Linked DNA regions of Lepisosteus oculatus. The protein of the gene in region 4 purifies or fractionates together with the protein of the main gene of each other region. This does not show direct contact. Links are inferred from orthologs where the notes say so. Each region holds a gene or a part of one and is shown on either strand. Other genes may lie near its edges. The genes, in order: ppp6c, ankrd52a, ankrd28b and ppp6r2a.

Region 1 (7,450 bases), on a different chromosome or scaffold from region 4:
GTTCAAACACCTAGCTGATCGCCCTGTGGTTTCTCCTGGATTCTCCAGGCTCCGTCTGGACTTTCATCAGGACAAGTCCCTCCAACAGCACAAGCTCAGGCTGTCGAGTGGAAAACGCGCTCTGTACGTTACCGCTGTTCTGCCCCTCTTGCATCTGAATATATAGGTAAATACAGCTGAAAAATTGACTTTAACACAAAAGATGCGACCGGTTTTCTAAAAAAAAGTCCTTTATCTATTCATGTCCTTGACTGCCTTGTGCACAACCTCCAACGTGGAGGACCTGGCGTCCGAGGTGGGACACAAACCCACTACCCTGGGATTATGAGTCTCATGCTCTACCAGCAGAGCTAGTCAGGGGGCCCAGCCATTAGTATGCAGAGGGAATAATAATCAAGTTATTAAGAACTCATTAATAATCAAGAATAGGGTGTGTGAGGCACTAAAACTAAGAACAGAATGAACAAGAAGGTTTTGGGTTTGATGGGCGCTTATATCGAGCAGTCAAGGACATGAACAGCGGTAACGTACAGAGCGCGTTTTCCACTCGACAGCCTGAGCTTGTGCTGTTGGAGGGACTCGAAGTCTAACCTGGACTGTGAACACTGACTCTATCATGAAGAAGGCTCAGCAGCGCCTTTATTTCTTGAGGTGCCTCAAGCGATGGGGGATGCCAACACATGTGTTGGTGAACTTCTACCGCTGCACTATCGAGAGCGTCCTCACCAACGGGATCACCGTGTGGTATGGCAACACCTCTTCGCGAGAAAGAAAGGCACTGCAGAGAATGGTCAATATGGCCCAGAAGATCATCGGCAGCGGTCTCACCGAGATTAAACAGCTCTATGAGGACCGCTGCCGTGGTAGAATTCTGGCCATCACAGAGGACAGTCACCACCCAGGGCATGAGCTCTTCACCCCACTGCCCTCAGGCAAGAGATATAAGAGCATATGGACACTTACCACTAGATTCTTCAATAGCTTCTATCCACAAGCAGTGAGACTGGCGAACACATTTAGCCATCCCCCTCGGACCACACCTACACCATCACCATCTACCTCATTGTAATTTATTAATTGTACGTCTCCAGTCATTGTTTACACGTCTGTATTGTTTACATTCAAACTGTCTGCATGTTTACTTGCACATTGTCTATTGTTTGTTTGTACATTGTCTTGATGCACTGTTTGCACTTTGTTTTGTTTTTTACACTTGTTTTATAATCGAGAGACTTTCTGTAAGTAAGAATTCCATTGTACCAGTACCGGTTACATATGGCAATAAAGTTCAAGTTCAAGTTCAAGTTCAAGGCTAACAGCCCTGTCCTGTAAACGACTAATGTTACGGAAACAACAACAGGGTGTTGCTGCCTCTACGTGCAAACATCCACACTAATCGCTATAACTGCAGTAATAATGCAGCTACTTAACTGTCAGAGAGAATTGAACTGGAGCTGTTCCCAGGCTTGGTACCAAAGTGCTTTTACCCATCTGTAACTCTTGCACGCAGCTACGGTTGCCATTCTGCTCCGCCCCTCCAAACACCCAGAGGCTGCCAGGTCTGCTCTGGGGGACGAAGCTGCAGTGCTCGTATCTGGGCAGCAAGCCCTCCCAGGCCGGCACGTCCCACTCGTGGGCATCTGTCCCACGGATGAATTGAAAAATGAAATGTCAACGTCTTCAGATTGTCTCCTGTCGCTGGGGAAGCTCTGCTTTGTTTTTTTTCTGCACAATCATGCCATTTAAAAAGATTATGAGAACCGCTTTCCTATCAAGGGCCACAAAGCGACCTTTCAGTTTCCGTTCACCGAGCGCTATAAAACAGGACACGCACGGAAACTGTGTGCATAAACACTGCACCTCGAAGTCAGCCTAGGAGTTGCTGTATGGTGCAATAGCAAACTAGCGCCTCAGTTATTCGTTTTACAAGCCAGCATCTGTAATCCATGAAAAGAAAGGGATAATACCGGCAAAGGTATGCCTTGGGCTTAATCAAGTCTTTATTTCTTACAGTGACTGACTGGGACACAGATATTTAAACCCCCCACCCTAGAACCCTAAGCTAGATTCATTGAGATCTCTTGATATCTAGACCAAGCTCAAAACATGCAGTGTCTATAGCATAGAACTGCCGCCTTTCAAATGTCCCCTAACCAGGTTTCAGGATGAGAATCCTACCCAGATCGATGATGTAGGAATCTGAAAAGCTTCCATTGGGATTGGCTCCTCCAACAATGAGAATCTTCCCTTTGTGTCCATCTTTCCCGGGAATGTAGGTGCAGGTGTGGCCAACCCTCTCGCCCGGCCCCTCCCCTGCGGGCACCAGTGCATACCTAGACCCAGAGACACAACATGCGACACCGCCATCGTCACAAGGAGCTGCTTTCTCATTACAAACACACAGGTTGGCGAAACCCTGCTTCAGAGCTTTGCCAGGTATGAGCTCAGTAGAGACAATTCCTTGAAATGTAAAAAAAAAAAAGTCAGGATTATGTTTTAGCTGTTGGATTCTCCGGACTGCTTAAACCGAAAATAGAGGCTGTACAGTTTCAGACAGATGTAATATTCATAAACTATAGGAATCTGATTATATACCACCATGTGGATTTTCATTTTCATTAACCAACGAAATGTTACCTAATAATCTGTAGCAGATTATTATCCTTATCCTTACTGAATAACAATAAAAAATAATCTGACTTGACTTCTTACTGGAAACAGTATATACTCGTTGTGTTTTACCTGCAAACGAGCTCAGAGTTCAGTATGCTTTTGTTTGAATACCTACCAGCGGATTTTATGCACTGACACAACGTCATTTACCATAAACCCTAGAATCTCCGAGACCAGGTAAGGTTGTGACTGACCAGGTTGATTCTTGTGGCTTGTCTTCAGGCTCCAGTACTTGAAGTAGCTCCATTAATCTGGAAACACGGTGCTAGCTCTTCACGCAAAGGAAATCGCACAAGCAGCCCACCTAAACATGCAGAAGGCACGTGTATCAGCCTAAAGCATGTGTTGGTTTCAAACTTCATTCAAGGTACTTAAATCTCCGTGCACAATTCATAAGGTTTCATTTAACGAGTGATGGAGTATTGAACTGAAATAACTTTTTTTTTTAAATGATACTACTTATATCTGTAAGATAGACACCTCACCGTCACAAAGAGGTTTCGGCTAAATTCAATCCGCACTGACGTTTAATGTCACACGTCCGTCCTCCTCGATTTCTTTAAACTCCAAGTATAGAGGTATAGTTATCGGCATACGCTGAAACATTTTGATAAAGTACATCATGCCATGCACACAGCAGATCCGTTGTGTGCCTGATTATAATGTACAACAGCAAACCTACCATCCTCCGTCTAAATCGCGTTGTTAACACTGAAGCGTCTGCGGAAATATCTGGCTGCAAGCTGTAAGTCTATCCGTTCCGGACATGCTAACACGAAGTAAAACGGTCAAGCCTAACAAACCACCCGCACTTCCATCCGATTTAAATTTTGTCACATATAAATTACGTCTATAGCATCATCAACACTTACGCCGCAGTTCCAGGCGCTGTTGCCACCACACGCCGTGCACTTTCACCTTTGCCCTTTGCACTCCCATGCAGAGCCAATGGGATGAGACATTCAGGAAACCATGGATACGCCAACAAGCTTCTTTAGAGTGACGTCGACGTACTGGAGGTGGTTATGTATGTATGGCCATCTTAAATTTTTTCACATGCATCTGTCATTTTTTTCCCCTAATCGCAAAATAGGCAAGAACCTAAAAATCTACAATAAAAAAAAGTAGTCAACACTCAACACAACAGGCGTGGCGTTGCGGTGCCGAGCGCCAGTGATTCATCACAGCTCATAAAACCCCATGAAAGGGCAGGAGGCAGAGAAAGGGAGGTAAAGGCCTCCCGCTGCCGGACAGCACGGCGAACTGCAGCTGCCCCCTTCGGCCCTGGGACGTCCTGCGGAGGAGGCCGGCGGCGGTGACCTTCATCGTGGACCAAGCAGGAGAAACCGTCAAACCGAGGCGTCTCCGCCGCTTGTGAAGAGTTTTGTTTCTGTGTTTTCGTTCTAACTTAATGCCACGTTTACGTGACGTAATAAAGTCTCATTATGACCCTCGCTTGTGGTATCAGTTTAAATATTTTTATTGCATTGCACCACCGGGTAACAACAGCAAATACCTTTCTCACATAGTTGGGCGCTTACTGTAATTATACGATTTCCGCGTCAAAAATGAGCTTACAAATCGTCATTCTGTGAAGCAAGATGGTTTTGTTGTTTTTCCATCAACAATAGCATAATCTGGGACATTCGATGAAATTTGAACAGCCCAGCTGCAATAAAAAACAGAAGAAACCCATGCTCTAGGAAACAATTAATTTACCCCCGTTGGTGTATGCGGCCTCTTGTGTTTTTGTCATCTTGCCTATGACAAAATGGAACAGTTCACAATTGGAAAGGGATGTTGAAGAAAAAGGAATATTATCTTGGAGATGTGGTGTGGTCTGTGGTTGGTCTGAACTAGGTAAAGTCACATTTATAGCACAACAACAATTTTTTACATCCTCAAAACTAGGTGGAATGTGATAAATAGACCCACGGGTAATAGGAAATTGTCGTTCTTCATTATTGTTCTGCTTTCTTGTAATCCTATTGCTGTTTTTATATCACTTCCTCCTTGCAAATTGACACAGAGCTGTGCACTGCTAGACAGGAAAAAGTCTCATTCCTGACACAAAAATAAATTGTGCCTCTCCAAAAGTAGTTCAAATCTGTTCTACAGACCCCCAGCTAACAGTATATAACCATGGTTTTGCCAGATGAGCGTCCTTTGCCAATGTTGCTGGAGTTTATAGGGGTCTTTTAGTGGCCGATACTAGATTTTTCTTGAAGGGCATTGTTAACACTTCACCGGTGGATCATCCTTTCTGGTTTTAAATAAAGCGTCAATTTCACAGGTGTTCTGTATCAAAACACTGCGGATTTTCTCTTCAATCAGATCAGCTTTCATTATTTTGAGTGTAGAACTACTCAGACAGCATTCAAATGCTGCTTCAGCTTTCTGGCCTATCATCCTGTGGACACATACATTCTGCACAGCACAGGGGGAAGGAAAAACCTCATTTAACTGCAAGAAAACCTCCAGGAGTCCAGGGCTTGGGAGTCCAATTTTGGATCATAGCTGTTCCGTGAGAAATTCTCTAATATTAGATTCTATGTCAAAATATACCTGGTTCGGTACCTACGGGCATTTTTGGAAATCTGAATAGCTTTAGATCCCAGAAGGGTCTTGAAAGTCTTGTGTATTGTTACAGGTAAGGCTGTCTGTTTGTCTGAACTGTTGCAAGAGGGAAGCTGCCTCAGGGCACAGGGTGAGAAGCTACACCAAGCGACACGAATGAGCCGGAAGCGTATATAAATAGCCGAATTTCAATCAGAATTACTGCAGATTACCGCACCCGGCTGCTGCTAAATCAGATGGAGAAAAATGACTGCAAGTGTCTGGCCAAAACACAGCGGAAGTGACGTTTTACCTCTTCCCTTTCGCAGGCTGTAACAGTTGTTGTTCCTAAAATGGCGCCGCTGGATCTAGATAAGTATGTGGAGATCGCAAGACAGTGCAAATACCTCCCAGAAAACGACTTAAAGGTGAGAGGATAACTATTTTGTCGGGAGCTGAATTACGCTAATATTGCACCGCTTTTAAATCGAGCTTGGACTTTTGTACATGGGGGGCATTATAGATGAGGATAGGATATAGGGTATGCCTGATAGCTAACAGTTATTCCCTTCCACCGTAGAGGAATCAAAACTAAATCTTTACACATGCTTTTCACTGCAGAAATGTGTGTCTGAGGATAAATGGGTAAAACAGTCATGCGGAAGGGAAGCCGGGCACAGACCGGAAGAAGACAGGGCAAAAAAACACAGTAACGAGGAATTGCCGAAACATGCTGAGAAAAACACGGCGCGTATTTGTCCATTAACAAATGACTAGGTAAAAAAAATCATGGTTTAGTCTCGAACGTACAATTCTGTTCAGGTCCCGAAAGGAGAGTAGTACATAGTGCACGGTATTGCAAAATGTTCCTGGATAGACTATTGAACTGCACTGTCAGGTGTATGGACAGCCAACGAGTTTCCTAGTCCTTATGTTGGAAAATATGACATTGTTTCTTTAAGTGACGCTTATCAATAATTATCAAATAGTTCTGAATTTAAAACCTATTAAATCTGCATTAAAAATGTTTACTCCGCTACTGTTTGAAGCCACGAAATAACTTAATAGTACAAGACTGAAGTTTTGTTAACCATGTACTTGAGTTCCTTTTCACCTCCTAGTGTCAGGGTTAAAAAAACAGTTAAAAACATAGATGTAGTCCACCACCCGGTTCTTGTCACACTGTGACAACTCCAATTTTGTAAGAATAGTAAAAAAAAAAATCTTAATTTCTTCATTCACATTCAAATTGAATGTGGATTAATACTTTAGTTAGATTAGATATGTTAAAACAATAGTTGAAACTTTTGGATACCTAGATTTCAACTAGATATTCTCAGAGAAACAGCAGAGGAGCCCAAGAAACTGTGGGTTGTGAATTGGCTGTTTTAAAAGATTATATGTTGTAATTAATAGCAAATTTTAGCCTAATATTGTATATGAATTTGATGTTGTGCCTGAACAGGGGTTCTCTTGTGAGAAACCCTGCTTGAAAGCAACTCTCTCCTCCCAGAAAGCCAGAATGTGCTGTCTTTAAACAGAACGTTCATTTTTGACTGCCTCGGTCAGGGCCAGGAATGTTAAAAGGGCGTGGGTTTCTATAATGTTAGCTGATGATATTCCTTTAGTAATTTGTAAGTGTGCTTTTTACTCTTTATCATCGGCAGTTCCATCAGATACCGAATGTTTACAAAGAGTGTTGTAAAATACCACAGGAGAGAATTTGTTCAGGCTTCAAAGAGACGTCTATGATACTGTGTTAAACTTCCAGCTTTACGTTTTTTAGGACTACTTTTAGAAACATTTTAATGAGGTTAATTTATGATGTCTAGATCACTTTCACGGTTTCATGAGTATTTTTTTTCCCATAAAACCTTTCATGCCAAAACATTTCCAAAACGCTTTCGGAGAGTAATTTGCTGTGCCTAATTTTTCAAATTGTACTTTTGTTTAAAAAAAAAAATTAGAACCTTCTTGTAAATGCTTGAGGTTGAAAGCGTTTTGCAGTGGTTTGAAAGGAGTTTGCCCATTAGAGAAGACCCTGTTCATGCAGTGAACTGATAGTGGGGTGGGTCTGTGTTTTCCTTTTTTAATGCAAGACAGCACAGTAAAAGTGATAGTAAAAGCAATGATGATTAAAATTGTAGCAAAATGGTAAAATGGGCAGTTAAGTCATCCAGATGTCCAGGTTTAATGCGGTTTCCTTTTCTTCCCTCTAGCG
Region 2 (8,013 bases), on a different chromosome or scaffold from region 4:
CGGGGGAGGAAGCAGGGAGGGAGAATTTAGAGCCTCCACGTGTCTGGGAGGAAACGGAAGCGCACACAGGGAGAAAATACAAACTCCACACCCCCTTTTTCCGGGGCCTGAATCGAACCCAGGACCCCTGGACCCGTAAGGCAGCAGCGCCAACCGCCCCCCTCGGCCTGCCATCGGTCCGGGATCCCGATAGGATTCTCTCATTCCCTGAGCAGCCAGCGTTGCCGTCTGCTCATCAGAGAGCCCAGCGAGCGCTCGCTGCCTCCGTCCTGACCTTTCACCTCCCTGCCACTCGGGCCCACCGATTCCGGTTATCTCAGGCCTCACGTCACGTCAGTACAAAAACCCAACCGTCTGCCCATTCTCACATGTGAAAAATAATATAGGGAAAAAAGCATTGAGTTAGGATGCTTCTCTACCTCGTGTAATTAAGGCTTAAAACCTATTGCACTTTAGGGTATAAATGATGCAGAACTCTTCACAGCAGACACTATGGGGAAGCTAGTGAAGGCTATTTTATTGTGCAACAAGGTCAATGGATGAAGGGCAGAAATGTTTCATGTTAAAGCTAATGGCCAGTAACACCCTGTTCTCACAACAGTGATGAGGAGCCACACTGGTACCACAGTATCCAGCCAACTCACGCCACCATTTGCCCCACTGGGCTGGAAAGCACAGGCAAAGCTAACTCTGCCCTGGGGATATCCACGTTCGGGGGGGCTTTGGCCTCCTTGAGTTCCCGCCAGTCACGGTGTGGACGACAGCTCCTCTTTCAGCCCGTCTCTCGGGAGGTTCTGGTTCTGGGGGCCAGCCCCGAGCCGGGCGGGCCGGGCCTGAGCCTGACTGGCGCGAGCAGGTTCGCCCACGCCCGCGGAGCTGCGCTGTCTGTTTGTCTAAAAGCTGAGCTGCACTGCAAGCCTCCCGCTCCCTGGCTTAAGGGAGAGCTCCGCCTGCGGTGAGCAAACACTGGAAAAACAAACCAGACACGATGACACGCCGGCGGCCCCCCAGCAGCCCCGGGTGACAGCGTGCGGCACCCAGCTCCTGCGGCGCCCCCTTCCTGCCACCCTGCCACCCTGCTGCAGGCACCTTATTCACAGAGCACCCCCGAGGGTGCCAAGTCCGCACCCCCCCCCCCAAAAACACACAACAGCGCAGCGATCTCGCCGAGCGGCACCGCCAGGCGGAGAGTCTCTTCAGGCGGCGTACACACTGGGGTCTGGTGCTCAGCACAAGGACAAGAAAGCCGGAACATTCGACCTCCATATTGCCGACTTGAGTTTCACCGGGTAGACGGCACACGACAAAACCCCGCTGATAACAGGAAAATGCCCATGTGGACAATCGCACAACAGTGCCAGAAGCAGCTGCAAATAAAAAAAAAACCTGTGAGGGATTTAGATCTCCTGTGAGTGTGGGCCGATGTTATTTTACTGTATGAGTCAACAGCGGGGAATTGTTTTGGTTTTTTTTTTTTACTTTGTTTTCTGTGCAGAATCGGAAAAAAAAGAAAGTTCTGCTGTTTTCAGTTAAGGAGAAAGGCTTTTTTTCCCCCACATTCACGTGAATAAGAAACAGATGAAGCCGCTTCCAAAAAGAACACACCCACTGAAAAACACTGTAAAGACTCCTGCTTTCTGACTACACAGACAACAAGGGAGGCACAATCCGAGGACTCGGGCCTGTAGTGTATGGAATTCTAGATCTGAGATCTCAGTCTTGCCCTGAGCGGTGCCACAGTAATCTTAAGCCCCAAGGCTGCACTGGCATAGCTCAGGTGAAAAGCCACACTGTGAAGTGAAAAGGACTATATCTGAGCACACACAACATCTCCCACCCTAATTCCATGAAGGCCATGCATTGGCCAGGGGGAGGGATCTACAGGCTTGGGTGGCTGGTGACCCCTTCCGGGGTCAGAGTTCACAGGGGGGTACAGGTCTTACAGGAGACCCCCCCGCCCCCGCGCACTGCTCCCCCTACAGCTGCTGGGAATGGGAGGCATGTGACACACTGTCAGACAAGGTCTAACGTCAAGGTCTCCTGAAGCCTCTGTCTGTCTGCACCAACACTAACTCGCTGCACCAGTCTGGAAGGTCACCCTCTGCCGGTCTGGCCTGAAGCCCTGCCAGCCACCCGACACAGGAGCCACTGTTCAGATGCAAACCCTACAAGAGTTTTCCCCTCTCCTCAGACTAGCGATTTGACATCCTTGACTTGGGCCTGTTTTCTTTAGGTGGCTGGAGGAAGCTTAATGGGAAGGATTCAGCATTTGCAGCATCAATAGGTTGTTTGGTCCATCCACCCACAACCCTTCGTGTAAAGAACTCCCCCCCGTTGTTGAACGACTTGTTTACATGGGTTGTGTTCTCCCTTTACACTGATGTGCCTTTCACAACGAGGAGACTGGAGCCTCATTCTGCTAGTCCCGATCTGAAGTACTGGACCGACCTTCACTCGGGTCCCCGTCAAAACTCTGAGTGAAACAAGACGTCCACACGGCCACGCGCCGCGGGACGGCAGCAGTCCTCCGCGCTGTGTCACGGTTTCAGTGCCGAAAACACGCCAAGGCGCTACGACCGGTTTCCCCCGCTCAGCACGGAAGACTAAACCCTTGGAAACAACACTGCGGGCTGGGCACCACGTTTTGGCAAAAGAGATCAAACGCGGTGTAGTGGAGCCGACATAACAGCGTGTTTTCTTTTTCTCCCCAAAATGTTCTTCTCAAGCGTTTCTCGGGCGTATGGGCTGCCTGCAAACGCCAGAAGGGATGAGACGAGAGGCCCTGGTGTAACATTTCCAGCCGCACTGCGCCGGGCTGAACTGACAGGGTGGCCTGTGGATATTTAGACCGGTTCCTCCCAGTAACCCCTTCGGAATCTGACTCAAAGTTAGAAGGGGGACCAAGTTCTGCTCCCGAGAAAACCCCCCCGACATACTCACGCCAGAGACCTGGACGCCGGCCGGGTCGGGGTCAGACCATACGGACCTGCTCCAGGTCTACAAGCACCCGCGCGGTATCTGCGCTTTGTCTCGGACGCGGACCCACGCGCCCCTCTCTCATTGACGCCGTTTGTTTTGCTCGTGGCAGCGGGGCTCTCTCTCACCTGATTGGCTGTTTTCCTCGGGCACGGGACCCCACTCGGCTGGCGGACCGGCTCGTGCCCAGGGTGGCGATCTCGAGGAGCTCGCTGAACGTCCGCACGCCCATGGGCAGCCGCCGCGCGACGGCCATGGCCAGGTCCCTGAAACGGGGGTGGATGTTTCCTTTCTCCTCAGATGCCCCCCTTCCCCGAAAGAGCCCCGTCGACGGCAGGAAGCAGCCCTCCGCAGTCCAGGAGGCTCCTTTCTTCTCTCCCGGGACGGTCCCTCGGGTTTACTATTTTTCCGGAGCAGCTAATACTACAAACTATACGATATCACGAAGCCAGGACACGATCGATTAACCCAACATTTAAAAATAGCGGCTGTTGCTTTCCAAAATAGGTGACCTTCATGTAGTACCCAAAAATCAAGTTGCTGTCAGCGATTTGTTGTCATTTTTGTGACTGCTTCTTCCTTTTTTTCTCTGTTTTGTACGTCCGTCGTCCTCTTCGCCAAATCCCGACCTTCCGCCAGATACCGGCTCAGTCGCCTCTCACTGTCACTGGAGGTTACGTCATACAGTTGCTAGGCCAACCCCCTGGAATGGGTGTTGCGTAAAACCGAGAGCGTGACAACGTCCGGTTGGGAGGGCGAGAATAAAGCCTTCTGGGATGGGTAGTTTTCTGAACCTTCCCGAGCCGCGATCGAATTGCTTATCTTGGGGGAAAAAAATATTTTTTTTAAGTTTAAATACACCAAGTACAGAACAGTATCATGAAACATTTCATGGGATTATTTAAAATATTTCAACTGCAGGATATTCTAAATTGTTTTTTGTAAAGTTATATAAAATATTATTAATATGGATAATAGTATATATAAAGAATCGTGCATATTCGTCGTTTGCAGTAAAAAAAAAGCTGAATATCGATAAATCAGAGCTCATTATTGTCTCTTAGGTCTGCCGCCCAAGGTTTATTCACACATAAGAGCTGATGAATGTGGCTGCTTGCACCAGCTGCCTCGATATGGGCTTTATTGGCTCAGTCTTCCTCACAGACCCAGACCAGCCTGCACACGCAGCGCAGCTCGGCGCTTAGTTCTGTCACACTAATCCGGGGTGCAAGGACGCCTTCAAAACCAAACCCTGCAACCTGTCTTGTAGGTTTGGACAAGGTTCTTGGCTCCTGCTGCGTCACCGAGAGATTAAACGGGGCTGGGATGTGGCGACTGGGGAGATGATGAGAGAGAGTCACGCCCTGCTTGTCCTCGGTACTTTCGCATTGTGAATCCGGGATCCCGGCATAAACGAAAGCGCTTTCCTGGGCACAAGACCGCTCAGTTTCGATTTTATTCGGAACTGTGCACACGTGACGCACTGTCCGTGGGACAGGGGTGCAGTCGGGATCCGTCAACAGGCTTTTCTTCCTGCGCCGCTGAACGCGAAGCGGAGATTAATTCCGCTGAAACGTAGAAACCCAAACCCCCCTCCCTGTTCGCGACGTAGTTATCTTCTGTCTGCGTTCCGGCGTGGGAATCAGCCTCTAAATTGTCCCCCCGTTCAAACTATCGGTCCTCATTGTTTCTTCCAGGCGGGTCTCCCGGCTCCCCTTTCAGAAGGCCGCCTAAGGAAAATCTGGGATCGTGTGACCCGGCCTGTTTGTGTATTGCGAGTAAGGGCTATAATTAGCCGCAGCAGCAGAGTGAAGTCCCCCTAGCGCTCCCTCCTTCATTACAGGCGGCGTAATTAATTACTCCCACGCAGCGCAGCCTGGGTCTCGTTTCCGAGCACCTCGGAGCCGGCGGTTGCCTTAGCGGCCGCTGCTCGGTCCCGCCAGGGGGTGGCGCTGTCGCTCGCCGCCGCTCCTGTAGGCGGTGTCCCCCCCCCCCAGCCTCCCTCCTCCTCCTCCTCCCCCTCCCTTCCAGTCTACCAGCAATAAACAACAGCGAGCGCACTGATACCGAGCGACCCTGTTCCTCAGTAATAATCATAATAAAACTACCGCCAGTTACCTCTCCAGCCCATCCTGATGAAGGAGCTTCGCCCTGATTGAGTCCGGGAGATGGGAATACTCAACATAACTGACCAGGTGAGGGACCCGCGACGAGCGGAGGGGAGAAACGCGGTGGAAATAACGATCGGGGTTTTTTTTTCCGCTTCTTTTCCGGAGGGCGGGCGGCTGAGACCTCGGCCCGGGCTGACTAGGAAAGGCCGGCGGCTGTAGGCCCCTCGACGTCCTTTTTCGCGTCACATTTTCCCCCCCCTCAAATCTCCTCGTATTTAAAACTCCCCCCGGGCAGGGCAGGACTGGGTCGCAGTCGCGGGTGGTGTTAGATCTGGATTTTCTCTTAACGACCGTTTCTTTGTGTGACTTTTGTGCGCTGTCTCAATCGTGTAGTTTTTTTTTTCCAATTGCAGCTGCGGCCGAGGGATGAGGGACGCGCACTCCCGTCTCCGGGTTGTAATGTCAGACACAGAAGGGGGTTTTTCCGCCGCTTTCGGTTCCCGGAAATATTTAGCTCTTTTCCATGCTTAAAAAAAAAAATTCTGCAACTATGAAAATGCATCTTTTTCTACGATTGTCCGGAAATCTAAAGCGCTGTACCTAGACAACGTCGTTTTTATGTGTGTTTGCATGGTGAGGCGGAACGTTTTTGGCTAGTGATGCTGCCGAGGCTAGCTGAACGCAGGTCTTTTTTTTTTTGTAATTTTGACACAACCTTTTTCCAGACGCTTGCACATTTAGAGGAAAGACATTTGGCAAAAGCGATTCCGTTGCAATTGGTCTAAGCGGTAAACTGAGGGCTGGCGGCCCACCCATTAATCTGTAGGGTCGCGGCTCACCTGCCTATCTTAAAATAAAAGCGAAAGAATATTAATGGGTGAATTGTCCCCCCCCCCGCCGTCGTTGGGAAGGGAGACGGGGAGGTTGCCAAGAAACGCGGGAGTGTGTGTTTGAAGATGTCCGAGCACCTGAAGGTGCCTGCGCCTGGCCGGGGTGTTGAGCTCAACACTGCGCGTCTCCGGTCAGCGCCCAAAGCCCCATCCGTGAGCCGAAACAAGGCGCCCTGGCAGATGAATCGTTTTATAAATACAATATTACCGATCTTTTAAAACGTTTTGTGGTGCAGTGGGCATGAAACTAATGAGCCACACATTTTATACTGTCCATGGTGTGGATTTTGACCCTGGTCTGAGTGTGACGTGTGTGTATATATGCGTCGTTGTTTTTGCTGCTCCCATGACGTCGCTGTTAAGGCCGTTCCAGGTTTTGCCTGGAGCAATGACGAGGCACTGGGAAGCAGAGAAGGCGAATGTGTAAATATGTCGTCTTAACTTTGCCTGTTATGCTTCCAGCGCCCCGTGTGCGAACCCCGTGGTTCAGAACATTAAATCTCGAGCCAGACCCGACACCTCTGCCCAGAGAGTATTGCTAGAACCTCTTGTGATATGATCTGTGTGGTGCAAAAATACGGCAGTGTTAGGGATTGTGTCCACACAGTGGACATCCCTGGAGTGCTTTGCCTGGCCTAGAAGCCGTTTGACAGTTAGGGCTGTAGGGCTTTCAAGGGGTGACGGGAAGGTCTTCACTGCGGAGCTCCTGAAGCCAGGCAGGGCCTGAGGGATGCGAGTGTTGAAGATGTGGGCAGGTCTCGCTGTGCTCTGGGTCCCTGCTCCGTCTTTCGAAACCCTGCGTTCTGTTCACCCTTCAAAGATCAATTTGGCCCTCTTAACCAGTATGGGGGGGGTAATGAAGACAGTTGGCTTTTTCCTTAAAGTGAATGAAGGAGCAGATCTTCCTCTGAAGGCCTGTGAGCCGCGTGTGAGCACCTGAGGGAGGTACTCTGTGTCCTTCTAGCTCGGATCCTGTGATCTCTGCTAGATCGTGCGGTGAACCTGTGACCTAACAATCCTGCGATTTATTTATTTGCACCCTGCCAAAGGCGGATGGGGAACCTCCATTCTCTGCTGGGCTTTGCTTTACAGGACAACAGCCCTGTATTTCCATGTTTTCGCTCTGTGTATTATGGCGAAGGTGTAGGAGACGCCTCCTTCTCTTTCCATTGTTAGCATCCTGACTCCCCCCCCCCCCCAATAAGCAGATGAGATCTGCCTTTCCAGGAAAACCCTTTGAGGGAAAAGAAGATGAAGCCAGTCGAGTCGCAGTGCGCGCAGTCCTGAATAGTGCTCAAGTCGTGATCCGTGTTTGTTTTTTTTTTAAGTTACGCCGGCTTCCCTCTACCCCTCTTTACGCAGAGGGTGGCGGGAGTCTGGAGCAAGCCACCCAGTCATGTTGTGGCAGCTGGTAAACTGGCTTCTTTCAAGAAATGGATGGGTCAGATCGTGGCATCCATTACAATGTCTTCCTGCCGAGCAGGCGGTGTAACCTTTCTCCTGTTCTTGAACTACAAACCCAAATTGCAGAACGGCGCGTGCGAGGAAATGCCTTTATCAAACGGCATCGGATGGATGTATAGAATTGTATGAACGTGAGGAGTCCAGGTGTTCCTCGCCCGAAACAGTGGCTATTGTTCGTACCCCAGCTGCTGTGCTCTCCCTAGGACAGTGACCAGCCATGCTGTCTGCCGAGAGGATGAGAGGGTGTTTAAGTGCTTGTGTGTTATTTCTAAACTCTGAAAGAGTCTTGTTTTGTCTTGCAGCCCCCCCTGGTCCAGGCTATATTTAACCGGAATGCAGAAGAAGTTCAATTGTTGTTGCACAAGAAGGAAGATGTCAATGCACTGGTGAGAACTGCGGTCTTTTTCTTGACACGTTCTTCGCGGGTGGAGTCCATAATTATTAACAAATGGTTCTCTTGTGATGGCTCGTGGGCGATTGGGCCTGGCTTTGGTTGGTGTGCCTTGCTGTGCACATTCGATAGATCACTTTGTGATGTCTCTTTTGTGCGGCGTTCTACAAATCGAGTCCCT
Region 3 (7,507 bases), on a different chromosome or scaffold from region 4:
TTTACTGAGCATTGAGCAGTGTTTTAAAAGTGGTTTTACAGATTTAAAGTTTTATTCATATTTAAAGGAAACCAAAGTGAAGAAAAATGTTTCATGTAACAGTTTAAGTTTGAAAAGAATAAAATATGCTCTAGCAGTTAATGAGCTGGAATCCATACTTAGTCATATGTTCTTGTGGTTGGAAAAGCCCAAGGCTATGTGAGTCACCAACCTTTTTTTAAAATAAAAAAATGCCTTCGAAGACTCCACCCTAGAAGTCTGAAGTTTTATTTAAAAATATATATTTATGTCAAATATGACTCAGTTTTCCAGTGGCATTTGTCGTTAAGCCAGATGTTCTTTGTGGGAGGCCTTTTTCAATTTGAACAGTAGGCCTCTCCAGTAGAACTTCATGTGTATTCAGTGTTGAATAGAGGTGCACGGTAAAACCTGCATTCCGGCATTTAGACGCTCTGTAATTTCCGGCAATTTCCATCAGTGGTTTTATTTTTTCAATTTTAACAAAGATTTTCCACTGTTTACATTCATAAAATCAAATTTGATTATAAAAACAAAATGACTGTGATAATGTTGTTAACTTTAAAAGGGTGAGTAAAAAAGTCATACTAAAGGTATTTCCTGCATATCATTGGCTATAAAGTTTAGAAATATGATGGGAATTTGGAAATCACGCGGAAATAACCGTAGCTGATTGGTTCAGAACGACCTTGACTTTCATCTTTATGGGCATTCCCAATCAAACAAAATTGCGGTATGAGATAGTCAATAACACAAGGGCCAAATCTGATGTTTGGGAAGATTTTGGGCTTAACAAATGTAAATCGGATTCAAGAATTGAGGAAGGTAATCTTTAATGATTGACAAAATTCTGCATGTTGCTTAATTGTTCTGTTTCACTGTTCAGTGTTATTTCTAGTTCTTTCATTCCAATAAAACAACAAAACAACATAATTTTCATTACCTTATTTTGTATACAACTCAGTATGCTTAACTAATCATAAAATGAGAGGGTCTCCATATATAAAATACAAAATAGTTAACAGTATGCAGCGATGTTTTCCACAGGCGGTACCCAACCCTAATGTTGAATGGTGCTCATTCTATATACAAGTACTAATTTCATCTGAAGAGTGTATAAGTAATTTGAAGGAATTTACTTTGGAAATACTTGGTACTTGGCAAATTCTGGGGTCTAGCAAGGAGGAGGGTGATTAAGTACAATAAGTGCTATTATAGTAAAGTATTTTTTTACTGGCTGTTTGAAAATGAACAGTTAGTGGCTGATATTTGTTCCTGTGAGCCACTTATGTATTTTGATTTTCTTATTTTTTTATGGATGTTAATTTGCATGTGTTCAGTTGGAGTTACCAACTGATAACTGGAGTAACCAACCTGAGATCACTGTATCTTTTTTAACATTGTGTATGTGCTACAAATTGGTATTTGTCACCATAAATAGCATTATTATTTTATTAGTATATAGAACTTGAACCTGTATCTGCTAATTGATATGATTTTATGTTAAGGCTGTAGTTTAGTTTACACTAAATTGAATGATTTCCAGAAAATGTATTCCAGAGCGTTGTGTTAAAAAGAGTTTGAATTTAGTTTATATGTCATTACTTCAATTTTAGCATTAGGCAGTATTTTAGTTGTATTCAGAATAAATAATTCGGCTTTGTCTTCTTCTGCCTTTTTATTTATACATTGAAGTGATCCGGATTCTTCATGATTTCTGTCATTCTTTAGGCAGCAGTAGGAAAGTAGTGGTTGGGGCTTTGGTATTTGGACTGCCGAGATGCAAGTTCATACTCCTTACGTGTATGGCGCACTGCTAATGTACTGTTGAGCAGGGTACTGCATTCGGATTGCTTTAGTTTGCCCAATGTAAATGGGTCTTTAGTACACGAGAATTTGTAATTGTGGTCTAAATCTAAAGAGAGAAACAGTGGCCATCTGCAACTTTTAGTATCAGAGAGTTGCATATTTCTATGTCTTCTATATCACAAATCTAAGAATTCTGTGCATTTGCAACTGTTCCTGAACTTGAGTGTTTTCTGATTTGTTTGCATTCAGTTTACAGTTGAGACGAGGTCTGTGTTTAGCTTGTTTGATTGGAGTGAAGTTCTTATTTTGTAGGTAGATGGCAGCCCTATTTTGAATTGTATCAAGACCTTTGCCAAACTTCAAAAAAGAAAAATCAGTTTAAGCCTTTATCTTACAAGCCTTAGCATGTAATGATATTTACATATTAAAGATTTTATAAACAATTATTGCTTATTTTTATAAAGTAATGTTTTAGCCTCCTTTGTTCCAAAAATGCAATATTTTAGCACTTTTGTGCATTATGTATGACTTGGGTGTCTTTTTTAGAAAAGTGTTTTTGTCTTCTTAATTTCAAATATTAAAGCGTTCAATGGACTGCAATAGTACCCATGTTGCTGATTTTAAGACCAGCTCCACTGACATAGTGATCATTTTGTTTGGAGAAACTATACCATACTGCAGAACTACCATGCATGTCTAAAACAGGACACTTGTAACCAGTAAAGGAAAGACGGAGGGTGGTGCCTTGTTGTTTCAATAATATGGAATCTGCATTGTTGCCAACTCTGAATGAGACGCACTGAAATTCCTTTGCCTCCGCATGACTCTTAGTTACTAACATGCCAAAGTCTTCCTGTAAATGCTTGAACTGCTTTGTGTTGTTCATTATTAATTGTCGTATACATAATTTATTGTTTGAATTTCTTGATTGTACAGTTTATTTTGTAGTTGTTCTGTTGTATTTTTACTACAGTGCAAAATGACCCATTTGAAAGCCCTTTTGGGATTTCTTTCTGGAAATTATACTTTTAATTTTAATTTTTTTTTCTTTTTCCACAAAATATGGGAGCTTTATTATTGTTACTGGTGAGAGTCTTGGCAGCTTTTTTGATTAAACAAATCGTATATGGCTTCATATAGTTTTTGCAAAAAATATTCACTGAATATATCTGCCCTTTTCCATTCTTAACCAGCACCACATTTCTATTAGTCTGGTAAAAACCTGTTTGATGGTAACAATACAGGCAGTGTGACGCTTGAAATGAAATACCTCAATAAAGAGAAGATAAGTCAGTGAAGAAAACAAAAAAAGCAAGGCAGTGTGATCAAAGGTGTATTGTTAACCTGTGTAGAAATGATTTAACATTCATTAAATGTATTTGCATTTTGGATGTAAGATAAATAGTGCCGAAAGGTCATATTTGACTTTTAGTACCTAACCTCGGACATTCTTGGAGGTGTAAAGTAGCAAGCCATAGTTTAGCTTCTGTGCGTGTTTACTGCACCTACTGTCCTTCAAAGGTCTCATCTCAGAGTCATGGGCTCTAGTCTTTCGTAATAAGCATGACAGGGTGCATTACTTTGGGTTGTTGCTATTTTTAAAGTGATCTAATTGCCTTTGCAGTTTTTTATTTAGGATTTCTCCGTTCCACTTTAGTCTTTTATAGATTAACATTCGGCATTTTATACATTTTATTTTCAGAATTATTTCATTTTGCAAATACTTTGTAAATCATGTTGCCTGTTTTGTTGCCAAAAGGAGGTAAGGTGACTCAAATATTAAACGGGGAATCTAACCTTTTTTTCTTTTATTGGAATATAATCACCATTGTAAGATTTTCCTTTGTTACTTTAAAATATTTTCATAGGATAAGGGAAATTGCCATGTTTTCTAGTGCATGTATTTTAAGGTGTTTAATTATTCAAAATTATAAATATCGGCACCATGAACAACTTGGTTTGTGGTTTGTACTTTATTACATTATTTGGTATTGTTATTTATCTCAGATTTGTATTGTTTTATGTTTGTTTTGTATTTTTATTATACAGATTGCTCAAAAATGCCTTTCAGTCTGTTTTGCTGGCATTTAAACTTTGATGCTCTGAGAACAGTAGTACTGTAAAAGTGAAGGACTTATTTTATAGCTAATAATATGTATCTTTACCCTGTCATTTAAAATAAAAAAATGATTCTTTACAGTTGTTTGAGTATGTACTGGCAAAAGGAAGGTGATAAACATTTTTAAAGCAATGTTCAATGTTGTATTGGATTAAACAATTAAGAATTGATTACATTTGATTTGTTAGTGCTCAATGTAATGACATGGAGGCTTTAAAAAAGTTTTCATTGTAAATGAAGGCAGAAGGGGCTGTAGTGAGACATTTTAAAACAATAAGCTCTACTCTACTTTTGCAGATTATAAAGAGTTAAGACTGTGTGGTAAGGCTGAAATGCTTTAACATGCTGGTTCATATGAAAGCAGTTAAAACTGCCTGCTGGAGAGAGTCACTCTCCTATAAAGAGGGAGACTAGAGAACCACTTGCCATCGATGCCTGATTGTTTCCAGTTTCCACTGGAAAAAATATGTATTGAAGCCTAGCCATTTTTCATTTGCATAGTCCTATTGGACGAGCTGATTAGTCACTCCTCTAGCAGACTGTGCGTCTGGGAAATCCGCCTACAAGGGAACATAGCTCTAAAGAGAAAGGCAGTGAGAAGCTACTGAAAGATCTTTTGATCCTGGTCTGGATGGAATTATAGCACTGTGATGTTACTAGGTGGTTCATCAAGGCGAAAAGAGAGTGTGGTTGTGCTGTATTGCTGAAGATAGTGATTTCTCTTCTGCAGAGCTGCTGTTTTTTTTCCCACTGTTAAATTCACATTTTAAAGGCTCCGAGCTTCTGAAAGTGGAGGATTGTAATACTAAAGAGGACTGCTTCTTGCAAAAGTAGTGTTTTTGAACAGTGCTAAAGAATATTAAAACAAATGCTCGAGGAACTGAACTAGGCTGTAACATTTTACTGGATTTCTTAAGAAGTGAAGCAGAAGATAATAACCTCCCTTTTTATTGCTTCGTATCAAAGCAGGCATTGAAGTGATAAAGGGCTTCTGCTGGAAGTGCTCAGTGGTAATTATTCCAGCTTTCACACACAACAGTTCATTCACTACTGCAAGTGGAGCATACTAAACTAGCACTGCACCTCCCCCTCTTATTCGACAGGAAACTGCAGTGAATTCTGCATCTTCAGGACTAAGGGGACACTTGGGCATAAGCACAGAAATCTCAGTGCCTATGAGAATATCCTGTGTTTGCTGTTTAATTATGTGCTTCCTAGCACTGTAGATGGATTCCCACTGGAGCACATGGACTGACTCATCGGACTTTATGGAAATATATTTCAGTTACCCAGTAGCAGATCTGCTGTACACCCACCGTGCTCAGCGGCAAAACAGCACATAAGCATCTTGTTTTGTGTCAGCTAACTGAAAGAGGGAAGCATGCACAAGCAGGAAGGTGCGGGATAATCTGTACGGATAATCAAGTGAGACTTGTAAACCTCTGTGAGCAGCTTGGAACAATCTGACCTGAGGACTACAATGGGGAAATGGCACTGACCTTGTCTACAGCCTGACTTTTTTTTGTTTGGCTTTCTGTGCGATTTTTGCTGCTTCAGATCTCTCTTTATGTCTTGGTAACATGGCTTGCTGCTTTCACAGCTGTTTACAGACTGCCGTCCTGTCACCCACAACAATTATCACTCTGTGCGGATGAACAACCACTCCGGAGAAGGCAGCCTGATCAGCAGTGTCACTATCCCTGCTCTTGTACGACTGGTTGCACTCAGAGTTAAAGAATATTCTCATGTATGCAAAGGATCAGATGAGCTTAGCATTGTTTTAATGTGCCTGACTAGCTTGTAAACAGGAAGAGTATTGTCAGCGCAGTTGCTGGATGCAGATGTGAGTCATATTGCTACTTTCAGCAGCGTTCTGAATGAATGGGGAGTTCGGTGGCTTTGAATATTGGCTTAAAATAATCAAAGTAAATGATCCATAACTAGAACCGTCTATGTGCAGGTTCTGCTCCTTTGGGTTTCAAATGTAAAATGTGAATTTTTCTCCTTCTTGATTAATATAATGAGCATCTGATTGAAGCGTGCTTTAATTATGAAACTTGTAGTGTGGACTTCTGTGCTTCCCTGTTCTCTGTCCTAAAACAGCGTTTGTTGGGCAGCTGTGTATCTTACTTTGTTGCGGGAGCAGTGCATTGGAAACTTTGGAATATTATAGAAGTGAATGAAAGCAGATCGGATGAGCCGAGTGTGCATTGTTGTTTTAGAGGAGGAGGAAGATGATCCCTCCACTTTTGTTTCGAAAGTTTCTCAGGAACATTATCCCCTGCCTGCATCTAACTCAAATGCTCAAGATAGAAAGGTGAGAGATGTAACTTTTATAAAATGTGTTCTGTCTTACTAGCTCTTTAAAGAAAATGAAGTTTTGGAAAGAAACAGTTCAGTAGTTACAGTGCCTTTGTGGCACTTTCTCAGAGGCTGGAGGGATTGTGTTTTTGTCTTAGTCTTGTAAATAAGACCATTACATTAAAGTATTTACAGCATTTAATGTGTTACTCTGCTGCGTCTAGTAATGTGACTGTAAAAATTTTTAACACTGTCTTAGTTATAGAACTCAAAAAAATATTATGATTAGAAATTTGATGTTCATAAGAGTACAACGAGTCTTGTCTAAATTGAAATTTAAGGTAACATTGGTCAGCTTTTTTCAGGGGTGCGTGCTGGGCAAATCCTTGTTTTTTATTACATGCAAAATATACAGTGATATGCAGAGATAATTTTCACTCAAAGATCAAAAAGAGTTAAGACATAATGCAACGTTTCAGACGTTGAACATTTTTAGGTGTCTTTTTTTACTTTCTAGTGTGGAATTAACTTCTACTTTTTCCTTTGCAGCTCACGCACGAACATAGCTTCCTGTTGTAAACCGAAATTGTAGTTGATAATTTGTGCATTTTTGACTATGAAAAAAAAATAATTCTGGTAATTTTCTACAGAAGATCTGTTGGAAATTTGGACAATTCCTATCGAAAAACAGACATTTGAAACAAATGGCGTTGGCATTGTCCAATTTTTGAACTGCTCATTTTATACTGGGAGGAGTCCATTTTCCTGGAAATGATTAACTCCTACTTTTATACTGAATAGAGTATTTGATGCCAGCTACAACAAACTGATGCGTAAGCGATCCCATGGCACATGGTAGTCCTAACATGTAATCCTGTCAACGGGATATTAATATATTTATTCCTCTCTCCTCTGTTTCAGCCACCACTGCTGAAAGCTATATTTAATGTGGATCCAGATGAAGTTCGCTCCCTCATATTTAAGAAGGAAGATGTAAATGTACAGGTAACATGTCTTGTGTAACAGAAGATGATTTTCTGTAATGTGAAATTTCAGCTGCAAAATAACTTCAAATTAAAAAGTAGTTTGCTTGGTTAAGTGTTTCCAAATAATACATTAACATTTATCTTTGGCATTGCTCACAAATGCCATCTTAATGAATATTTTTGGGCATTATAAGTATTAGGATCATTTTGACTTGAATCTTGTGTGAATATGCATTTAAAAATGTTTTTCATATGACATATGGTATTATTGAAC
Region 4 (7,822 bases):
AACTGCTTCTCAACTTGCTGCTTTGTTGCAAAAAGTTATTGCAAGTCTTTTTTTCATTTTCCAATGCAGGCTTCATAATGTAGAAATACATGGCTGATTACTTTAGGTTCTGTAGAGTGCTGCCATTCAGTGCAAGTTTATCTTTCACTAATGATAAATTGTTTGCTCAGTTGAATGCAATCTGAAGTAGTGTGCAGATAGAGTTTTAATTCCCTGACATTAAAGTAAAATCCGTATTTTTGGTGTAGTGAATTTGTATCATACTGTAATTTGCCAAGAGACAGAAACAGCTGTTACAGAAAAGGCAGTGTTCAGATTGTCTCAGTCAACAGTCCTGACATTTAACGTTTTGATGGGTTCACCCATTAGCTTACTGGCATTTTAATCAAAGGTGAAGCACACATATTTGTGATGAATCACATTTCATTAAACACCTTCTCAGAAAGTTGATAAATTTAAAGGTGAATGCATATATGATTAAAAAATGAATAGGAATCAACTATCTGCTGGTACTTTCAGTAAGTCACTAGATGATTCAATTCATTTTCTCTGTTATAAAATTAATACAAAAACAAATTTACATATAATGCTAAAGACTTTTCTCATTTGAATTTTTTGAATATGTTCAGGCAATCTGCTAAGTATTGTTTGCTTTGTAAACTGTTTTCTGCATGCATGAAATCTGTACATAGGGATTTAGGTTTTTGTGTTTCAAATGCATAATTGATTTCAGTTTTCTAATACCTTACTCAAATAAGTCACAGTGTGTTTTGTGGAATTATCGATAAATTGTTAATTATATGGAAAAATATTCACAACGAACCAGGGGCCGTTGAAAATGAAAGAGGTTGTTAAAAGATTGATTTTAACTTAGGCTTTTGATTTATGATTTAACGGTGTGTGACAGGACACATCTGTCTGTTGCCTGGAGGCAGATTTGTTCCATGTTCTAATATTATGTGAATACATTTCTATCATTTCTTGAGTTGGGTTATGCAAAAGGACATAGTTGCACTTTCATATTTCTGTATTTTCATAGTTGTATTTTGAGATGTATTTCTGGTTGTCTTAAGCACTGATGTGTAACCTATTGTTTTGACAGGTTAACAACAATATCTCAGCTGAGGTGGAGCAAAAGGAGAAGTTCCATGCTGGTTAATGAAAGCATTTTTATTATTCTGTGCACTCTGCAATCTGCAAGACAAATGTTCGCCTGCCTGTGGAAGAGGTTTAATTAAGGATACACACATTTTATTGACAGGTATTGTTTTTTATTGTGAAGTGAGGGTATTTAAAGGTTTAATATAGTGCCTTCCATACGTTATGGGACAGTGATGTCAAAAGTGCTGTTTTTGCTGTATACTCAAGAAATTCAGATTTGAGATCAAAAGATGAATAGGGGATAAATTGCAGAATTTCACCTTTTATTTTGGGGTATTTCTGTGCTTACATGTTGTCCCACTTTAGAATAATAACACTTTTTGTATTCAATCCCCTCATTGTAGGTGACCATATTATGACAAATTAATTTAAAGTCAATTAAAGTAGTATAAAACTTCTGGAGGGCACAGCAGAACAGTGCCCTTTTAAACAGTTTAATCCATGTATACAATCTCAGAAACTGCTTCTTCCTATGACCCTGGATTATACCGAGAAGCAATTATTGTAATTAACTTTCCTGTAACCGTTATCTCTCACAAAGGTGTGGAGGAATTTTGGCCCATTCCTTCTTCAGATCCCGTCACGTTTCGATGGGATTAACTTTGACTAGGCCATTGTAAAACACATAATTTCTTCTTGGGCAGCCACTCTTTTGTAGATCTTCTTGTATGTCAATGTTAATTGCACTTTGGGCTAAGCTTTAGGTCACAGTCAGAAGACATGACATTCTCCATTAGAATCTTCTGATGTGGAATTCACAGCTGCCTCAGCAATCCAGTACCTGAGGCAGCAAAGCAGAGTCCCAAACCATCACACCCCCACCACTACCTTTCACTCATCAATCTAGGCATCATTGTTCCAGATGCCTTGTGAATCATATATGTACTCTTTGTTGAACTTCCGATGGGCAGCAATGTTCTTGATGGTGAGCAGTGGTTTTCTCCTTGATATCCTTCCATGAACACCATTCTTGTTCAGTCATTTTCTGATAGTTGAATTGTGAACAGTCATAGTCAGCAGGGTGAAAGTGACCTGTAGTTCCTTCTATGTTACTCTGGGGTTCTTTGTAACTTCCTTGAACATCTTCTGGTTTGTTCTTGGAGAGATTGTGGGTAGAGTGACTGGTCTTAAAAACAATTTCATTTGTAGACTATCTGCCTGTGGATTGGTGGAATCCTAAATCGTTTAGTATGGTTTTCTAAGCCTTTCTGAAATGATGAGCATCAACAACTCTTTTTCTGAGATCCTCAGAGATTTCTTTAAATTGTGGCATAACCTCTCTTAACACCCCTGTCTGGTGAAGGACAAACTCAGTGTTTCAGATAATTATCTAAGGTGGAGCCTTCAATCCCTGAGATCCACCTAATTACTTAAACACCAGTTTCAAATTATCCCCTTAATTGAGCTGATGATGTTCACTTACTTTTTCACATACCTTGTATCTTAATTAGTCATTGCCTGTTTTATTCATACATAACCAATTCCATGTCCCTTGAAAGAAAGTTACTATAAACCCTGTTGGATATTTACATAAAGTGTTTTGGATTCAACAAGGCTATTATGGTAAAATTGAGAAATTTCTGTATTTATCTTTGGGGTTCAAACTTTTTTTTAGCAATGCACACAAGAGAAGGCTCTATTGCTCATAGTGTAGAGCCTGGTTTTTGGCAGAGACCCACAAGATAATGTCTTGTAGTGTATCCAGGTAAAAAGCTTATGATAACCTGGAATTTGACTATTAGTGCCTCATAAATGAACAGGAGAACATTTCCACTCTAAATGTCACTAGGCATTAATGTATTTTGTGGAAGATGGGAGTTAAGTACTGCAGTGTATTCATGTCAAGACATGAACTGCAGAATTCTGGTCAATGTTTAGTTCCCTAAAATGTAATATCAAGGATACCAACATTTAATAATGAAGGCTGAGAAAAGATCTTAAACAGTATTTTGCAGGTGAGGCAAAAATACCCTTGATATGTTCAATTTATTGTCATATGTACATGAGTATAATGAAAAGCTTACTTGCATGTTTTCTTCACATTCCTAACATTAACTTTAAAATATAGCACCAAATTTTCCTACTTTCCTTAAGGGTTTGATTTTAGCACTGTCAATAATACTAAAGTCACTGACTTTTGCAGGGTGATTTTAGGTTAAGTTTATAGACTTCTAGTCTTGAAACCATTTGTTAGGTCCTTGAAAGTTAGTTCAGATCCAGATGTTAGTATTGAACAGACATCTATTAATTACAGAAGCTCCTGCGGTAGTATCTGATTTGGTCTGTAAATTTAAGTTTCTCAGCACAGCAAGTGAAATCAGTGATGGGGAATGATCAGACCAAGAAAAAAATAATGTAAATAATGAAATGGTTAAGTTCCCAATATAGAACCCAGAACACCCCCAAAATGTGAGCCAACACTTTAAAACACTTAAGGTTTTCAAACCGGTTCCAGCTAATTGCAACCTCACTTTTATGGTGTTTTAAACAGCTCATTGCCACAAACGTAAGTATTAAAAATATGCTTATTCAAAGCAGTTTATCACGGTCTTATTTTTTTTTTACTGTAACAAACATCCACAAGTAGCTGTGTGCTAACTCCTACAATAGCTAAAGGTTTGTCATTCATCCAGCTCTGCACACAAAAATGTATTTACCACAGAATTGAGTACGACACCAATTCAAAACTAAAACAAAACCTTCTTTGAAGTGCATTTGGGGTCTTTATAAACTGAATACTTGTAGTTGATTTCAGTCTGCCTTTGTAGTTTAATCTTGAGCTATTGCTGAACTGAAAACTAACTTTCGAGAGAGACATTACAATAATGTTAATTTATACAATTGCCAGATCCAATAGCCTGGGTTTGATTACCCCTGTCTCTGGTTTTGGGAGCCTTCGTTGTTCCATATTCATTTTGGAGTGTAGGGTTATATTTTAACAAACATAGTTGAGCTAAAAGGCTTGTGTCAAATTTAAAAAAATGTCAAATTAAAGTCAATAAACTGTAGGTACTTTTTGCCATTTTCTGTTTTAAACTTCATTTTCAGTTTCGCCTTACCCAGACCCCTACATAATACCATACTCTACTGTTTTCAGACTGAGACAGCACTTGTAATATTGTACCTAAATGATCAGATAGATTCTTAAATATGATTCCTGAAGTCATTTTTTTTCTCAGATACTGTACTGTATATTAAGCTTTTTCATTTTTGAAAGTGATTTTGTTTGAATGAATTGTACAGGTAAATGTCTTCATTCTTCTGCAGTTGCAAATCTGAAACAAAAGCTTTAAAGCTTTTAAGATAGTCATATACATAACACTACTTGTTTTTGCAGTAACCCTAATGTTATCCAGGCAGTATTGTTTAGATTGTTTATTGGCTCAATGCTTTTTTGGTCAGTGTCACCTCACATCGTAAAACAAACTCTCCCAAGGGGTCTAGAGCTCTTGCGTCAGCCCAAATGGGCATTGCATACCAGTGCTTTAGCTCCATTTTTTGTCTCATTAATCGTGATGAAAGCAAAGATCAAAGAATCCTTGTCCCAAAGGCGCATTTACTTAATCCAGGCCTACATCTGGTTTATTACGCCTTAACTGACCTCATCGGTAATCGTCGTATCGTCTTTAGATCTGTGTGCCTGATCACGATGTTCTGGAAGTTCGACCTGCACACCACCTCCCACATTGACAAGCTGCTGGACAAGGAGGATGTGACGCTGCGGGAGCTCATGGACGAAGATGACATCCTGCAGGAGTGTAAGGCCCAGAACCGGCGGCTGCTCCTCTTCCTCAGCCAGGACCACTGCATGGAGGAGCTGGTCACTCTCATCACTCAGGAGCCTCCACAGGACATGGACGAGAAGATCCGCTTCAAGTAAGCCCGCTGACTGCCTCGGTGTGTGTGGGGGTCCGAGGTTGTGGGCCAGGGGTATTGCTAATTTTCCCATTACTCTGATCGGAGGTGATTTGAAGGTATTGTTTTACTTCTTGGTGAATAAAAAAATAACACTTTATCCCTTTTAAGTGAAACATTTTCTTGGAGGCAACCTAAATAATGCAAAATGTGGGATCGGGATTGTTCACTCTTGAGTAATTTTGAGCTGTGCTTAAATTGAATAAATACATCCGATCTTCAGTCGGAGATCTCAAGCATGCAGTGCATGCAAGAAGAACTAAGAATATTTCTGGAGCTAAAAGAGTTCTGCAAAGAAGAGTGGGGTGTGGGTGGGTGGGGGGCTTTGAAAGCAAAAATAGAAAGACTCTTATCTGCCGAAGGGAAATGTTTGGAAGCTGTGATTTCTACCAATGGAGGTGTTACTAAGTATTGACTGACAGAGTCAAACTTTTGCTTGTGCCGTATTTACTGTTTTATTATTTTGATTATCTATGAAACTGTAAATAAATACTAATTGTACATTAAAAATTTGAGGGAAGATGTGATGTTTAGGTTTGTACCACACAGAGGTTGTGTCAGCTTGTTTTCACTTGCAGTTTCAGCTGTGAATCAACAAACAGTTTGCCCAAGGGTTCCTGAACGTTTGAACACAATTGTAGGTACTCATAAAAGGAGTTCAGAAATGCCCTCAGTGACTTCTTTAAACCAAGTTTAAAGAACACTCCCTCCTTGACTATAAAGATGTAATTGTTTTATATGTCCATAACACACGACATCCTTCCATAAAAATGTATCCCTTGCTGCCAACATGCGAACATATTGTATTATTGAAAGCCACTTATTTTTTGTTTTAACTCTTTTTTTTACCTTATTTTATAGCATGATTTCTGACAAACTGCATTTCAAACATATTGTGATCTCTTTACTATTGGTTGGCACAGTGAGTGATATCTACCAGTGGAAAATTAATATTCAGCACATAGTCTTTAGCTCAGTCTCCTGTCACCTTGTGATTTTTTTTCTCGTTTCATCCAAGCAGAAAGATGATCAAGATGCTTGGGTATTCCTGTCCCCTTTTCTAAAATGCTCTGTGATTCAGATTCATGTGTATGTTTTGATAGCTTGGTTGTGTTCCTATGGCAACAATGCTTGACTATAAAAATAAAAATAGAACCACAGCTGCTGTTCCTCAAACCATGATGGCTCAAAAGGAAATGCACCTTACCTGTCTCTGTATCTTCAGAAAACAAATGTTTGAAAGTCCAAATGTTCTTTTGGTGTGCAGTGGCCCCAGGGGTCCTGTGCCATGTCACTAGCCTTTTGACCTGCAGTTGTATTCACAACTCCCTGGTATTCTGTTTGCCTCAGTGTTGATGTTGATGGGTTCTTTTTGCAGCTTAAAGCTGCTTTGTATCATGCAAGTAGTCTTATTTTGTTAAAACCATACGAGAAAGCAAAATTAAGCACTTCCCTTCTGGTGAAAATATGTGATGGAAGTTGCTATTTCAAAGTGATTCTGCATGAATGCAATCAATAATTTGCAGTTTGTCATAGCTTTGAATTGTTGGTTGATTACCTAAAGAAAATGCTCTCCTTATTTTTTGTACATTATACATGTACATATATGTATTTTTTCAAATGATGTAGCTGTTAAGCATATCAGTGGAATATAACTGGGGAAAAAACTATTAGCCTACACTCACATCTGAAGTTTTTCAACTTAATGAAATTATTAGAGTATATGCGTTCCAAAGAAAGCATCATGGAAAGATGTTTTTTTTAAGATTGTTACCTAAACAGCCTGCTTCCTTCTTGTTACTGATACAGTTCTTTCACAGCAGTTCTTTTGCGTAATCTATGAGGTCAGCAGCACACAATTCTCCAGTCCATCTCAAAGTTCTATGACATCATTGTAATTCAGATTACCATGCTTCTGATTCCAAGGTGTTAATCAGTGTGAAATTAGACATGGTTTGGTCGCTTGCAATTAATTTATTTCTGTCCAGATTATGCCACATGAACACTGAAATGATTAAAAAATAAAATAACATGGACCATGTTGACGTAGTTTGGAAAGAGACCCTCTTGGGGTTTTTTTAAGTGCATTTTCCTTTTTTGAGCTGAGAACAGTTATGCAGTTACTGAGGAAGCAAATTCCATTTTTGAAGACGTTTATTTATTTGCAATTAGACTTCAGCCCTTGATGACGCAAAGTGTTTGTTTAATATTTGGTTTCTGAATGATTGCTTTAAACCATGATCCAAAATGACTGTAAAATGAAATTTCTAACAGTGGTTTGGACATTCTCTTCATGCAGTTTTTTTTAAATCCTTTGAAATGAATACAGTTTGCCAGTAGTCTTGTGTCTATTTGATTGTAATGGTTTTCTGTTACTTGAATGATACAGAGAACGAAAGAGATCTTAATTTTCTATAATATTATATAAAATAACAGTGGGAATGCTTCACTTAAATGCGGTAAAAAAACACATAACTTCTGCATAAGTGCTACACAACATGATTTAACAACATATATAATTATTTTGCAAACATTTGTGCAAAAGACATTACAGGCACATTTTGGTATCAGTTAATGAAGAAACATGGTTTCACTTGAAAGCTAAAACCTCAGATCAGAATGATCGAACTATTAAGGACTTGGGAGCAGATAGTGTACAGTTCAGCAACAGTGGTCCTGGTATGTTAACGTGAACTTTTATTTTTCTATATATGTTTATCGGTGGTGTTTTATGTTCAATAAGACA

What was found.
Region 1: the proteins of ppp6r2a (region 4) and ppp6c purify together in Homo sapiens (affinity purification with mass spectrometry; 9 studies listed by BioGRID and IntAct, counting the BioPlex papers as one, with this or other methods). This does not show direct contact. The link is inferred for Lepisosteus oculatus from reciprocal best matches to the Homo sapiens genes PPP6R2 and PPP6C.
Region 2: the proteins of ppp6r2a (region 4) and ankrd52a purify together in Homo sapiens (affinity purification with mass spectrometry; 3 studies listed by BioGRID and IntAct, counting the BioPlex papers as one, with this or other methods). This does not show direct contact. The link is inferred for Lepisosteus oculatus from reciprocal best matches to the Homo sapiens genes PPP6R2 and ANKRD52.
Region 3: the proteins of ppp6r2a (region 4) and ankrd28b purify together in Homo sapiens (co-immunoprecipitation; 4 studies listed by BioGRID and IntAct, counting the BioPlex papers as one, with this or other methods). This does not show direct contact. The link is inferred for Lepisosteus oculatus from reciprocal best matches to the Homo sapiens genes PPP6R2 and ANKRD28.

The regions. Positions count from the first base shown.
Region 1 is NC_090719.1:12,993,177-13,000,626, forward strand, and holds the start of ppp6c (serine/threonine-protein phosphatase 6 catalytic subunit), read left to right. Parts: upstream 1-4,442; 5' UTR 4,443-4,533; intron 4,534-5,558; 5' UTR 5,559-5,582; coding exon 5,583-5,657; intron 5,658-7,448; coding exon 7,449-7,450. Other genes in the region: rabepk (rab9 effector protein with kelch motifs), read right to left, coding at 1,488-1,640, 2,179-2,333, 2,868-2,920.
Region 2 is NC_090696.1:15,866,644-15,874,656, reverse strand, and holds the start of ankrd52a (serine/threonine-protein phosphatase 6 regulatory ankyrin repeat subunit C), read left to right. Parts: upstream 1-5,002; 5' UTR 5,003-5,144; coding exon 5,145-5,171; intron 5,172-7,743; coding exon 7,744-7,827; intron 7,828-8,013. Other genes in the region: coq10a (coenzyme Q-binding protein COQ10 homolog A, mitochondrial), read right to left, coding at 3,105-3,232. UniProt on the Homo sapiens protein: Putative regulatory subunit of protein phosphatase 6 (PP6) that may be involved in the recognition of phosphoprotein substrates.
Region 3 is NC_090705.1:28,200,631-28,208,137, forward strand, and holds the start of ankrd28b (serine/threonine-protein phosphatase 6 regulatory ankyrin repeat subunit A), read left to right. Parts: upstream 1-4,494; 5' UTR 4,495-6,125; coding exon 6,126-6,263; intron 6,264-7,168; coding exon 7,169-7,252; intron 7,253-7,507. UniProt on the Homo sapiens protein: Regulatory subunit of protein phosphatase 6 (PP6) that may be involved in the recognition of phosphoprotein substrates. Involved in the PP6-mediated dephosphorylation of NFKBIE opposing its degradation in response to TNF-alpha.
Region 4 is NC_090702.1:13,043,858-13,051,679, reverse strand, and holds the start of ppp6r2a (serine/threonine-protein phosphatase 6 regulatory subunit 2a), read left to right. Parts: upstream 1-4,810; coding exon 4,811-5,037; intron 5,038-7,822. UniProt on the Homo sapiens protein: Regulatory subunit of protein phosphatase 6 (PP6). May function as a scaffolding PP6 subunit. Involved in the PP6-mediated dephosphorylation of NFKBIE opposing its degradation in response to TNF-alpha.